Pelodiscus sinensis: one gene and its partner. Each later gene encodes a partner of the first gene's protein in a complex. Links are inferred from orthologs where the notes say so. Each region holds a gene or a part of one and is shown in the gene's direction. Other genes may lie near its edges.

Region 1 (7,312 bases):
CACTGCCCCCCTGTGTCCAGTGATCCCACCCTGTCCCCTGTGAGGTCACTGCTGCACCCGTGTCCAGTGGTCCCGCCCCCCGCCCTCTGTAAGGTCACTGCCACACCCCTGTGTCCAGTGACCCTGCTCCACTCCCCCACCCTCACTCGCTGGGGCAAAGGGTTGGGCGGAGGGGGAGGGAAGGCTCTGATGGGGGGGCCCAGAAACTAGGCCTTGGGGAGCAGCGAAAGGCTCTGGGTGCAGCCAGACATGAGGGGTCCAGGTGCGGGAGGGGCGCCGGGCTGGGGAAGAGATGCCGGAGGTGCGCAGGGCCCTTGGTACCGCATCCAATTCTCTGCCATTCCCAGGGCTCAGACGTAGCCTCTCTCTGCGGCTCTGTGGTAATGGGCCCTCCGATCGATCCCAGCCATGGGCAGATTGTTCCCATGCATGTGTGGAATAAATGTGATGTGCACTGATGCACGCCGGAATGTGCACCACCAGTAGGAAGCCCCCTCGCTGTGGGTGTCTGCTAGTCAGCTGGGCCGCACTTCTAGGGAGACACGCGCTTTGCTTGAGGGCCGGTCAGACTCGAGCCCTCTGGGGGACACAGGCAGAGATCGGACACGGGAACCCCAGCGAGAGAATCCGACCGAGGAGTTCACAACCTCCGAGACGTCCGAGGGCTGCCCGGGGGAGTCTGTATCTGCAACCACAAGGAGCAGGGCGGGGGCACCTTCCACGCTGTCTGTGCGGCCCCAGGATTCCCCGTGGTTCGTGTCAAAGGGCCATAGCGCACTAGAACGGGAAGGGAATTCGAGAGGCATCGAGTCCCGTCCGCTGCCTTCCCGGCAGTGTAGCCCATCCCTGACAGCCTGCCCTTCAGTATCTGCAGCCTCCCTCGGCAACGTATCCCAGTGCTTGGCCGTTTTCCCGAAAGTCCAACCTCAACCTCCCTCGCTGCAGCTTCAGCCCCTTGCTCCCTGTCCTGTCCTCAGAGGCCAAGCACCATTTCCCCCTCCTCGTGACACCCTTTGAGATACTTGAAAAGCGCTCTCATGCCCCGCTCAGTCTGCTCCTTCCAAACGAAACCAGCCCAGTTCTTTCAGGCTGCCCTCGGAGCTCCTTCTCTGGACCCTCTCCAAGTTCTCCACCTCGCTCTGAAATGTGGGGCCCAGCACTCCAGCGGGGCCTGATCAGCGCAGAGCCGAGCGGGAGAACGGCTTCCCGTGTCTTGCTCCCCACTCTCCTGTCAAGGAGTTTCTTGCCAGATGAAATGTCACCTTGAGAGCTGGGTCTGCACCTGGTGCTACTGGCGGCACTGGAGCAGGGCCCGCCTCTGGGACACTCCTGGGATGCAGTTTCCAGGGATATGAGGGTGTGGTTTCCTGCCTCTCAGCTAGTGGTGGCCGCTCTTTCAATCTGGCTGCAGGCGAAGGCCTTAGGCCAGGGCTGGGCAAGACGCGGCCCAGAGGCCGGATCCGGCCCGCCTAACACTTTGATCCGGCCCACAGATGGCATATGGCCGCCTTCCATTTAGATCCGGCTGCCCAGGCCACCGAATTTCCCAGCGGTGGCTCAGATGGCTGGATCTGGCTCACTGCTCCCAGTCGCGGCGCTACCCTGGAAGGGGCCGGAGCCGCGAGCCCTTTAAATAGCCGCAGCAACCTGAGGCGGCTGCCAGGCAACGCGATAGCGGCACGGCCGGGAGCCACAAGCCCTTTGCTGTGTGTTGAATTCAAAGCCTCTGGCCCCGGACAACTCTGGGGGAAGGCTAGTCCCCAGCCCCGCCCCTTGCACCCCAGGCCCCGCCCCTTCCAGAGGGTGGAGCCAGCCCGCAAACCACATTCATTGATTGGCCCCCCTGCAAAAATTATTGCCCACCCCTGGTGTCAGAGGTGGTAAAGCTGTTAGCTTATAAGAAGCACAAAGGGTTTGTATCGGAAGAAAAGGCCAAGCGCCGCATTGATTGAGAACGCAGTGGCACGGCGGTTAGCAGATGCTCATACAAGGGTTATAGACAGACACACCCCGTGTACACGTTCTTTTATTATTTTATGTTCTGTGTACTACTTTATGGCTTGTGGATTGATTATGGGAGGAGCAGGGTTGTATCGGTTTGGATCAGTGCTTTAGTTATGGCAGGACGGATTTCCTTTTCAAGCAGAACGGTTTTGTTATCATTGTTTTTTTGAATTGGGATTAGTGGGTTTTGCATTGTTCAATTGTTGGGGCTTTTTGACGGGTGTTTGTTATTTGTAGTTGGTTTTTTGTAGTTGGTTTGGGAGGTTTTTTGTTTTAGCTGGTTTTGATTATAAATATTTTGTTTTAATTGATAGGGGCTTGTTTTTTTCCAAGCTGTTGATTTGCTCGCTGCTTGTATTTTGAAGGGGATCTGGAGCAATTTTTGGCGCTTTTCCATTTGTGTTTGGCTTTTTCCAGAGCATTTGGCTTTTCTGTGCATTGTTAACGTGCACATTGTTCAGTTTTAGAAAAGAGGGTTGATTGTTGTTCAGAGAAGCAGCGTTTCTGGTAGAGAAGCAGTGTGCACATTCAAACAAGGACGTTACATTGCAATTTGAAGAAGGGTGTTTGTTGTAAGCCTAAAACAGAACCGTGTCCATCAGGTTCTATTCCTGCGGTGGAACCAGCTCTGGACACAGTGCTCTGGCTGGTGCACCTTTACCAACGGTAAGGTCAAGGTCCTTTCTGCATTCGAGAGGGTGGCTGGCAAAGTACACCGAGGCCCAGGACTTTGCATAAAGCTCCATTTTAGCTCCATGGCTACAGAATGTGCCAATGGTTAATTACCCGCACAGTAAACAAAATCTGTGCCTTGTTTCTTCTTTTCGTTTGTTCAGCCTTGGCTTCCAGCCGTTGGATTGCTCGGAGCCTTTGTCTGCTAGACCCTAAAGCTGCCCGACTTAGTAATCTCTTTCCCAAGTAGGGTGTTCTAGACCTTGCCCTCTTCACCTTCTCTCGGCTAAGCCGCACAGACTGCGCGTCTCTAATCTCCCATTGGGAGGTGGCTCTCCTGACCTCGGATCCTCCTTCTCGCTCTCGCCTGACACCTCTGCAACGTGTCCACGTTCTTTCGGAAGCCTGGGCCCCAGGACTAGGCAGCTACCGAGATGTCGGCGCGAAGGCCGTGCACGGTGTCCTACTGCTTACGCACCCCAGGTCCGTTAGACCTGCCGGCCAGCGCCATGTGCCTCGATTAGAGATACTGGCCTCCGCGGTGCTCGTTCTGGCCACAGGCTATTTCGAAATAACCTCCAAATCAGCCACACAATTTGGGGAGCTTATTTCGCGGTCAGGGCGCTGTGCAGACGCACCCTGAGTGTCCTTGTTGCGTGCAGCGGGGGGGGGCTTGCACAGGCCCGTGTTTGATTTTAGACCCGTCCACGTGCTAGACCAGGAGTAGGCAGGCGCAGGGCGCACGGCTGGGGGCCCTTGCCGAGTCCCCGGCAGGGCTGAGCGCTGCGCCCGGGTCGGGGGTCCCAGCGCCGTAGCTCCCTCCAGGAGCTGGGGGGTTCCTTGTCCTGAGGGGGGTGGCGTCAGCCCCACAAGGGACACCCTTCCCGCCACGGCTGGGAACGCCACGTGCAGCAGTGCCTGGCCCCGCCCACACCACCCTGAGGAGGGCTACAGCGGCCCCGGGCCCCGCCCCCAGGCGTAGGGGGCGTGTCCGGTGCGTGGAGGGACCTGCGGCCCCGCCCCTCGCAGCTCCGCGGCGGGCCGGCAGGGGGCGCGCTGGGCGCCGGACGCTCTAGCCCCGCGGGCCGCGCTCGTCTCCTCCGCCGCCGGATTTCCGCTGCGCCTGGCGGGCCGGTGAGCGCGGGGGGCCTGGGGCTGCCGGGGCGTTTGGCGGGTTGCGGGGGGGGCCGGGGGTTGGCGGGGGGGGCCGGGGCCGGGGAGGTTGCGGGGGGGGCGGGGGAGGCTGCGGGGGGGGCCGGGGCGGGGGGGGCCGGGGGAGGGCGGTTGGCGGGGGGGGGCCGGGGAGGCTGCGGGGGGGGCCGGGGCAGGGGGGTTGGCGGGGGGGGCCGGGGAGGCTGCGGGGGGGGCCGGGGCAGGGCGGTTGGCGGGGGGGGGCCGGGGAGGTTGCGGGGGGGGGGCCGGGGCAGGGAGGGTTGGTGGGGGGGGCCGGGGAGGTTGCGGGGGGGGGCCGGGGCAGGGAGGGTTGGTGGGGGGGGCCGGGGAGGCTGCGGGGGGGGCCGGGGCGGGGGGGGGGAGGGGAGGCTGCGGGGGGGGGCCGGGGCGGGGGGGGGAGGGGAGGCTGCGGGGGGGCCGGGGCAGGAGGGTTGGCGGGGGGGGGGGCCGGGGAGGCTGCGGGGACAAGGCCCCCGGGAGGCAGGGAGCCCCTGGGCCGGGCCTGGTGGGGAGCAGGGCAGAGTCCCGGGGCCTCTCCCGGGCGCGGGGGAGGTTCGGGGCCGAGCCGGGGAGGCCGGGATGCGGGGGGACCGCGGGAGGGGACCCCTCCTAGCCTCTGCGCTGGGGGTGACGTTGGTTTGAGGAGGGGAGACGATCGATCGGCGCAGGAGGCGCAGTGCCGAGGGGAAGCAGGGCAGAGTCGCCCCCTCCCACGGCAGCACGGGGTCTCTGACAGTCGCTCCCATTTGTTGCAGAGGCTTCGAGGGGCTCCCGTTTGGAGACCAGCTATTTCTGCTCTCCCGTCCCAGAGCCCGTGAAATAAGAATGTCGTCTGATTCGAGCAAGAAGAGGAAACCCAAGGTCATCCGCACTGACGGGGCCCCCCAGGAGAGCAAGCGGGGCAGGGTGGACCCTGATCAGGTGGGCTAATGATTGTCAGCCTGTGGCAATCCTGCGGCGGATCAGATGCTGTCGGGCTGGCAGGAGTGCAGAGGCGAAGCCGTCAGTGCTTTGTTCGGAAAGCTCTTGACATCACAAAAGCATCACCCTGTTCGTCCGCTCTGTTGTAAGGGCGAGCATCTCAAAAGCACCCGGGATTAGCTTTCCGCTGCTCGTACTCAAGTCAATGAGGTTATTACCATTGGCTTCAGTGAGCCAGATGCCAGGCCCGATCCCCAGCATCCCGAGCAAAGAAGGGTTATGACCCTGGGAACCAGAGTTGCATCTTATGCTCTCTGAGTGATTTTATCACTGTTGCAAGTTTGCACTGGCCCCCCAAAGCTCTCGGGGTGTTTTTAGAAGCCCTGAAAAGCTTGAGGGGCAATGGGCGTAGGTGGAGCCTGTCTTTCATCTTGTCTGCTCATTGAAAGAACTTTGCTCGCTGCTCTTTTTCCTCTCCTGCTTGTCAGCCTAGTACCAATATGGGATGGGACCTGATGCTGGTCTCTGGGGACACTGTAGTGCTACTGTGAACCCACTAGACAAGCAGGCCCCTGGTGGAGTGAGGCGAGCAGGGGGTTTGTTGCAGTGTTAAGTGCCGCTCTGTATTTCTGCTCTTTGCAGGATGTGAAGTATTACAGTGAGGAGGCGGAGGTGGAACTCCGAGATCCCAGCAAAGACTATGAACTGTACAAGCAAACCTGCCAGGAGCTTCAGAGGCTCATGGCAGAAATCCAGGATCTGAAGAGCAAAGGCAGCAAAGACAGCGTAAGAAGGAGCTTTTCTCCCGAGCCCTTTCAAACACTTTCTGCTGCTGCGCGAAAGCAGTGGGTTTGAAAGCCACATGGCGTCCTCAAACGGGGAAGGGGTTTGTAATGGTCCCAGCAATAGCAATGAAACGTAAGGACTGAATAGCTCAGGAGAGCGGTGCGGGGACAGGAGACCTTCTCCCAGAGAGCGAATCCAGCCTAGGTTATTGGTTACCCCTGCCTGGCGCTTGCTTGGGGGCCTGCGAGAAGCGAGTCAGGGTCTAGTTCGGCAGGTGTTCCCATAGCAAGTGGACTGTAATGAGCGAAGAGCATGGAGCTTGAACTCCCCTCTTGCCGCCGTGGGGCAGCCGTGTCAGATCAGCGCTGAGACTTAGGGTACGTCTAGACTACATGCCTCTGGCGACAGAGGCATGTAGATTAGACTACCAGGCATAGGAAAATGAAGCAGCAATTTAAATAATCGCCGCTTCATTTAAATTTACATGGCTGCCGTGCTGAGTCGATCAGCTGTTTGTCGGCTCAGCGCGGTAGTCTGGACGCGCGGGGGTTGACATCAAAGGCATTTGTCGACCTCCCAGGTATGCCTCATCCCAGGAGGCTTTCTGTTGCAGAAAGCTGGCGGCACCGCTGCCCACGCTGGGCCTTTTCTGTAGCAGGAAGGAGAGCTTCAGCGCGGGCTATTGGGCTAGCAGCTATCACTGCTCCTAAGAGGATGGAAACGAGGGTGCACCATTGACTAAACTCTGTGCCTCCAGCGCAGGGTTGAGCCACCTGATAATAGCCAGGCTGCTCTGGTCGCTGAAAGGGTTAAACCCGAGAGAAGGATGTCATGAACCTGGCCCCGGAGCCAGAATGAGCCCAGGAGGGATTTGGTGATTCCCGGGCTAAGGAAGAGTGGGTGTGTGTGTGGGGGGGGGGGGGGAATACATGTCTGTGTGGCCAGCGACCCAGCTCCTTTACCTGCTGCCTCCTCCCCTCTCAGGCAGCTGCCATCGAAGAGCGGCGGATCCAGAGCTGCATGTACTTCATGACCCTGAAGAAACTCAACCGTCTGGCTCATATTCGGCTGAAGAAGGGGCGAGATCAGACCCATGAGGTACCGTGAGGCCAGCGATTGAAAGGACCGCCCCCTGGCTGGGAGGGGCCTACCCGAGTCCACACAGGGTTCCAGCCACAGGTCTATGGAGCAGAGGCTTCCTGGGAAACTCGGCTGCCGACACTGTAATAGCCACAATGAATGAAAACGCGGCACCAGTTTGATTCGATTCTCACCTGGCACCTCCTGGTCGCCCCACAAGGCCATTGTGCACAGGCTGGGGGTGGGGTGCCAGCCAGTGTCCCTGAATCTCCTGGGTTTCACCATTCCCGAAAATCTGCCTTCTCTGGCTGGCAGCCTTGATCTCTTGCCATCTGCTCTGAGGGGTGTGGTGTTGCCGGCATGCTTCCCGGGGCGACCGGCCCGTCACAGCAGCCCCTGCGCATTGCATGGGATCATGATTAGCCGGTTAAACGTTCCATTGAACTGGTGGACTTTTAACTGGGATTTCCCATCCCTGGTTGCTCTTCTTTTTGGCTTCATCTGCACTGAGGTTTTCATGCTCCCCGCTGACGTTCTTTCAGGCAAAGCAGAAGGTAGACGCCTATCACCTGCAGCTCCAGAACCTACTCTACGAGGTGATGCATCTGCAGAAGGAGATCACCAAATGCCTGGAGTTTAAGTGAGTACTCAAGGGGGCTTAGGGAGGGTCCGATTC
Region 2 (6,956 bases), on another chromosome or scaffold:
GCTGACAAGTTAACTCACATGACGTTTAGACCTGCTCCCTCCTCACAGTTCAGTTGCCTCTCCCCACCCCAACAAAAGATAAAGCCCAAGTACCGATGATTATTAGGGAGAGTAACTTAACCCCCTTGCAAAATAATCCCCACAAAGTGGCTCAAACAGCACCTGGTCCCTCGGTTGGATCCCCTGCTCTAGTTCACGCTCAGGACAGCACCTTCATGCTGGGCTCGATAATCCTTTGCCCTCAGACATTGGTAGCCAGAGCAGACGGCTATTGGAACAGGCCCGCTCTTCCCTTGCAGCTGGCTGGGCAGTGCTGGCTCGCTGAGCCTTAGTATTTGTTGATGCCAAAGACACGCACGCCATGGAACTGGGGCAGCTTGGGGAGGAGGACGCTGAGGAGGGAGGTCGTGTTGATTAGAAAATGTGCAGGGTCGTATTTGGTATAAAAGCTGGTGAGGAGGTAACTGGAAGAGAGACGGAGGCAGGGTTAGTTCTGCAGCCATCCAGTCCTGCCTGGGGTGACAGCACACAAAAGCAATTTCTGAGGCTGGATTGGCAGCTGAAGACTGAAACCCTCCCTATAGTGGTGGGGGGGAGGGGTGTGATGTAAGATTCCCCAGCCAAAGCACCTTACCCATGCCACAGAACCATTTCCCCTGCATGGCCAGAGTCCAGTCACTAGAGCCCATACTGCCCTGGGTGCTTCGGTGGTGCCAGCCAAGGGGCCAGCTGCTAGCAGCCAGGGTGCTCTGTGCACAAGCTAGCCAAGGACTGTTATGATACCCACTGGTTTGTTTCAGGCCAGAGAGCTTGTACCCTCTAGATGCAATAGTCAGAGGGCAGCCACGGGGCTCTGGCCAGTTCCACCAACAACCAACGTACTCTATAGCCGAGGTGGCTTTCCCTGTATAGGAGAGAGCCCAGCATAGGCTAGTGATTCAGTTTGGCTTCATGCAGACTACAGTGGTCCCATCCTCTCCTCTGGGCCAGTCATACCTGCTCAGCTAAAGCTGGGGCCCTGCCTCGTGAGGTAGAGTCTTCTTGGCCTACACAGGGATACTGGAGAGGAGGGGAAATATAGGTAACCCCACTGAATGCCTAGGTGCTGTCACTCTGGTTTGGAGCACTCCTACCATAGGCAGGTCCCAAAAATGAAATGCCACCCGGAGCTTTACAGATGATCTGCCACAGCAGGAACAAACACTTACAGGACTACCGGCGAGATGCTGAGGAATTTGCGGGAGGAGGTGCACTGCGTCCCATAGTCTATCTGTTCCCAGTGTGTGAGGAGGCGATCCTTGCCCTGGTCCGGTGTCTCAAACGGGGTTCCTTTCACAGTGTGAAGAAACCAGTACATAACCTGCAATTTCCACAGGAAGGGAAGGTGTAAGGAGAGTGGCAGTCCTTCTGCTGTTGTACCATTAGCACACAAGTGGGGCAAGAGCGGACAGGACCCAAAGCTAGAGGGCAGCAGATCTATGGAACTCATTGTTACAGAAGACTAGAGTCAAACAGCATGTTCAGTTTTAGAAAAGGTCTGGCTGGGGAGACAAGTTCTCCTTTTGTAGAGGCAGCAGGGGGGGCAAAGAGGGGCAGGGGGCCTGTGGAGCCAGTGCTTGGGGGAGCCAGCTTTTAAGTGGGTTCCCCATAGCACTGGCTCCTGCCTGTCCTGTCCCCCCCATTGCCTCTGAAGGAATCAGCAAGGTGCAGAGGCAGATGGATTCGCAAAGCTGGCACACACACAAAGCCAACTTAAAAGCTGGCTCCTGCCTGCTTCCCCTCCACGCTATCAGAGGCAGAAGTGTGGGGGTGGTGGAGCAGGTGGATCCGGTGCTTGTGGGGAGATGGTTTAAAAACCAGCTTCCCATGGAGACCGGCTCTCACCTCCCCCCACTTGCTGCCTCTGATACAGAGGTAGCAAGGGGGTGGAGGGCAATGCACGTAGTCAACAGGATTAACCAATAAGCCCAAGCTTGTCGGTTCATCTTGTAGTCATCTACATGTTAACATCCCTACTTTCTAGCAGTGCAGGAAGACACGCTGGGAAGCTGAGCTTTCACTCACCAGGTTGTGTATAACATTAGTAAGGGTCCAGACCACTGGAATGCTGAAGAATGGGATGCTGAGGAGAATCACATGGAGAACTCCCACCGAGATCATGTAGGCCAGCCAGATGCCACGGCTGTTCATCACCCGGGTGTTGGGATTCACCTCACTGTGGGCCACCCCAACATTCATTCTGGAAGAAAGAGAGACAGTGGTGGGGAAGTGCAGTCAACATTACTCAAAGACTATGATGTTTTCTGATTCCAAGACGTGCCTGATGTTGTCCTTCCTTAGGATCCTGACTTTTTGCATATGCGCATTCCAGGTTCCTAATACTTATCTTTCTGTAACATCTTCCAGGCCAGTGCCCCCAAATTCTTTATAAATATTAATGCATGAATCATCACAGCCCTCAGGTGGCCACAAACTGAGGCAGCAACAGTTAGAAGTGGGGCCCAGGTGTAGCCTCCTCATATAGCCCCTACTTCCTGCCTAAAGCTGGGGAACAGAACCCTGGCATCCTGACTCCCAGCTTCCTCCTTTCCCTTTACCCCTCACTCTAATCCATTAAACAGCTCATTAGTGACTTTGTAAGTCTCTTAAGCAAAGCTGAAATTGCAAGACCCTAAGAGCTGCTTTACTCTGTAATTCAGGTCTTCATTTCTCCCCCTTGTTATGGCTGTGCAGCCTCCCCATACCCACTGCCCCTTCTCTTCCTCCACGGCTCCTCTTCCCAGCCCTTGTAACTGTGGTATCCAACTAGTTCTATAGCCAACTAGCCACACACAACCAGCCAAATAGCCACACGTGGATAGTGGCTAGCATGTTGGACACCACGGCCAGGCTTATCCCACCTCATCACTCCTCCTAGGAGAGCAGTACCACCTAGCTCTCTCAAGAGTACGTCTCATCAGTGGCTCCAGAAGCTCTTCACAAAGGAGGGCACTATCAGGCCTTCCATTCTACCAAAGGGGAAACTGAGGCACTGAGCGGGGAAATGACTTGCTCAAGGATGCCAAGCAGGCCAATGGCAAGGCTGGGAACAGTCCCTCCTTCTTCTCCTCCCCATCCCCCATCCCCCACAGGCTGCCCCCTTTCCTCCTCCCCATCCCCCACAGGCTGCCCCCTTTCCTCCTCCCCATCCCCCACAGGCTGCCCCCTTTCCTCCTCCCCATCCCCCATCCCCCACAGGCTGCCCCCTTTCCTCCTCCCCATCCCCCATCCCCCACAGGCTGCCCCCTTTCCTCCTCCCCATCCCCCACAGGCTGCCCCCTTTCCTCCTCCCCATCCCCCATCCCCCACAGGCTGCCCCCTTTCCTCCTCCCCATCCCCCATCCCCCACAGGCTGCCCCTTTCCTCCTCCCCATCCCCCACAGGCTGCCCCCTTTCCTCCTCCCCATCCCCCATCCCCCACAGGCTGCCCCCTTTCCTCCTCCCCATCCCCCATCCCCCACAGGCTGCCCCCTTTTCTCCTCCCCATCCCCCACAGGCTGCCCCCTTTCCTCCTCCCCATCCCCCACAGGCTGCCCCAGCCTACACGTGCCCCTCCTCCTCACCCCACAGATTATTTGTCCCCCTACACGTGCCCCTGATTTCCCACCCAGGCCGCCCCGCCCCCCACATGCTGTCCCCCTCCCCCACATAGGTGCCCCCCCCCCCCCCATCCGTTTCCCCGCCCTTAAGGGGCTCCCATCCCTCACTCACCTGTCGGCAGTGGCTGAACCTTCCCTAGCTCGTCTCCAGGAAGTGCCAGCGCCCACCCCCACAGCCGCCCTCTATTGGCTGCCCACCTTTCCCTTCTAAGCGCTCATTGGCCTGCGTGGTTGTCGCTCCTCTATGCCCCGCCCTTCCTTCCAAGGCAACCAATAGGAAGCCACCGGGCTGGGGAGGGGGAGGTGGCTGGGCTAGTGGCAAGGCGCGCTCTTGAGCGGGTCGCGCTTGGGGCGCCTGGTCAAGAAGAGCGGCTGCCATTGGGCGGCGGCCCGTCCGGGGTGGGCGGGGCCAGGTCGCCGCGAGCTGAGGGGAGGCGGCAAGATGGCGGCGGAGACCGTGGAGCTGCACAAGCTGAAGGTAGCGGAGGGAGGCGCGCGGGCTCCCCGTCCCCATGGCGGGTGGGGCCTGGCCCCGGGGCTCCCCCCGCCTCTGGGCGCCTGCGGGGCCGGGCGGCTCCCCCCTCCCTCGGGGTGGGCCGAGGCCTGAGGCCCGCTACGGGCTCGTCCGGCCCCGAGCGCTGCGAGCCCCCGCGGGCGGGCGCGTGTCCCGGGGGGGGGGCGCGTGTCCGGGGGGGGGGGTCACGAGACGCTCGCACCCTGCTGGGCCTGGCACCCGCTTCCAATGCGGCTTCCTCCAAGGACACCGCCCCCCCCACCCCGGGGAACTGCGGCCCCCCCCCCACCCCGGGGAACTGCGCCCCCCTCCGCCCCCCGGGCGCATGGGATTTCCACTCTGCGCGCGTGTCGTGGTGAGCCCCCCCCCGCCACGAGGGGGTGCTGGCTGTTGCACGCTCGCCTGGCAGCGCCACTGCTCCACGACCCTTCACTTACGCCTCCTTGCACGCCAGGTCTGTGTCTATCCACCTCTGGGTTTTCTCCGCATCCTTCCCAATCCTCTACCTCAGGAAGAAGCATCGCCACGCCTGTGTGCTGCACGGAATAGGCCTGTCAAAGCTGCAGGGGAAGAAACTTGCAGAGCAAGGTTGTGGCGTGTAAAATAGTCTGGCAAGGATTGCAGTGGCGGCCAGTATTTAGTTTTTAAATGAGCCTCGGGACAATACTGAAAAGAGTTCACTAGGGCCCAGGCAGATGGACTGGATAGTCTGTCTCTTTTGTCTCTAACATCTAAGGTTTCAGTAACATGACTGCTGTGTCAGACAGAGGGACCTTTATCTTAATTTCTGGCAAACAGTCGGACAGGGACGCAGGTATTTTTATTTCTTCCTTTTTTTTTGGCGGGGGAGGGGAACAGATCATAAACAGAGGAACTGACTTGTCCAAAATACAGGACTGTGTAGCACTTTAAAGACTAACAAGATGGTTTATTAGATGATGAGCTTTCGTGGGCCAGACCCACTTCCTCAGATCAAATAGTGGAAGTAGGTCTGGCCCACGAAAGCTCATCATCTAATAAACCATCTTGTTAGTCTTTAAAGTGCTACGTAGTCCTGTATTTTGTTTCAGCTACAACAGACTAACATGGCTACACTTCTATCACTATTCTACATCCTGACTTGTCCAAGGCATCAGTAAATCATTGGCACAGATTAATCTATCTTCATCTGAATCTATCTTCAAGAAGTCTTGGCTCCTAGTTTCCTGTGCTAACAACTGGAACCCATTCCTTCCAAAACCCAGCAGTCATTACTCCCAGATTCTTGGCACTAGGCATTATCTCCTCTATGCGCCTTCAGAATTTTCAGTTGACTGTTACCATAACGCTAATGGTAGCAAGTAGCAATTGGAAGTTCTTCATAACTTGGGTATTTTGGGGTGAGTAAGGAGGTGTAATTATACTTAAGAAGTGTGATTTAGTGAGGTTGTTCTATAGCCATGGTGTCCAACCAGTTCTGAAGCAGTAGCTCCTATACTGGCTAATGCTATAGAGCAGTGTTTCCCAATTTGATTTGGCCATGGAACCCTTATAAACTCGAAAGAATTTTGCAGAATCCCAATAATAGTCTTATATGTGGAGCTGAAAAAGTAGGCCTCAAATAAGTAAGGGTAATAATAAACAAATGCTAAACAAGGTCATGAGATCAACATTTTGTTTAATTGCACATATTTAAAAACAAAAATCACATTTAATGTGTACAAAAAATAAAGCTAAAAAACGAATCTGAATTATATTTACAGCGGTTTGCAGTGGTATTTAATAGGCGATTGCAGTACTGACTGTGTGCGCAGCGCTGAGTAGTGACATTGTCGTCCCCACTCTCTGGCTACGCTGGCATTACACAGGGACACTTACCTTGGCAAACACAAATGAAAATTGTTTTCAATAAAATTCATAAATGCTTAAATATTTTTTTAAAATCACAAAATGTTATTGTAATGGAATTTTCTCGCGGAACCCTTATTTTCACTTCGTGGAACACCATTTGGGAAACACTGCTATAGTAAACTAGCCACACTCAAGTGGCCAAATAGTCACTAGCTTTTTGGACATCACAGTTCTATAGTAACAACTAGGGGTGTTAAATTGCAGTTAGTAAGCTAATCGAGTAGCTGATGGAATTTCCATCGACTACTCAATTACTTGATAAGGGGGTTAGCTCCAGGGGCAGCGCAAGTTGGGACTGAGCGAGGGACTGCCAGGCTCTTACTGCATTTAAAAAGCAGAGCCACAGTGGTCTGGGACTGGGTGCAAGCTGGGACTCATCTGTCCCTGCTCATGCCAGGTCCCCCGCTGTGCCTCTGCCTCACATGGTGATGGTCCTGGGGAGAACTGGCTCCTGCTCCCCATCCCCCTTGCTGCCACCTCTGATACAGAGGCAGCAAAGGTTGGGGGAGAAACTAGTTGAGTAGTTTGTCTCCCCACCCTTGCTGCCTCTGTATCAGAGGTGGCAGCAAGGGGGAGGGAGAGTAGGAGCTGGTGCTAGGGAGAGCTGTAACAATCCCTAGTAACAATTTACATTTTTCTGCTACTTTTGCTTAACATGTCTGCAGTTTCATTTTTGTTCCAGTCCCCAGAGCAGCTCAGAATCTGCAGGATGTAAATCGCTTTTCAAGGGGAGCACAGACTAGATTCAGACCCTCTATTAATATATCTTTTGTTCTTCTCAAGCTCTGTATGTTCAAGACAGGTGCTTTGCAATCCTATCTCAGAGGGATTAAGGCAATTTACAAATGGGAGAAATGGAGGCACAGAGAGAATTACAGAAATTGTAATGGAGAAATTCTAGTAGATTATCTGAC

What was found. The genes of interacting proteins can lie anywhere in the genome.
Region 2: THOC5 (region 1) and SARNP share a complex: the UniProt entries of both Homo sapiens proteins name them as parts of the transcription/export (TREX) complex. The link is inferred for Pelodiscus sinensis from reciprocal best matches to the Homo sapiens genes THOC5 and SARNP.

Annotation. Positions count from the first base shown.
Region 1 is NC_134725.1:5,322,223-5,329,534, forward strand, and holds the start of THOC5 (THO complex subunit 5), read left to right. Parts: upstream 1-4,299; 5' UTR 4,300-4,674; coding exon 4,675-4,770; intron 4,771-5,412; coding exon 5,413-5,556; intron 5,557-6,540; coding exon 6,541-6,654; intron 6,655-7,178; coding exon 7,179-7,276; intron 7,277-7,312. UniProt on the Homo sapiens protein: Component of the THO subcomplex of the TREX complex which is thought to couple mRNA transcription, processing and nuclear export, and which specifically associates with spliced mRNA and not with unspliced pre-mRNA.
Region 2 is NC_134729.1:4,432,843-4,439,798, forward strand, and holds the start of SARNP (SAP domain-containing ribonucleoprotein), read left to right. Parts: upstream 1-3,953; 5' UTR 3,954-4,080; coding exon 4,081-4,116; intron 4,117-6,956. Other genes in the region: ORMDL2 (ORM1-like protein 2), read right to left, coding at 329-464, 1,209-1,360, 2,065-2,238. UniProt on the Homo sapiens protein: Binds both single-stranded and double-stranded DNA with higher affinity for the single-stranded form. Specifically binds to scaffold/matrix attachment region DNA. Also binds single-stranded RNA. Enhances RNA unwinding activity of DDX39A.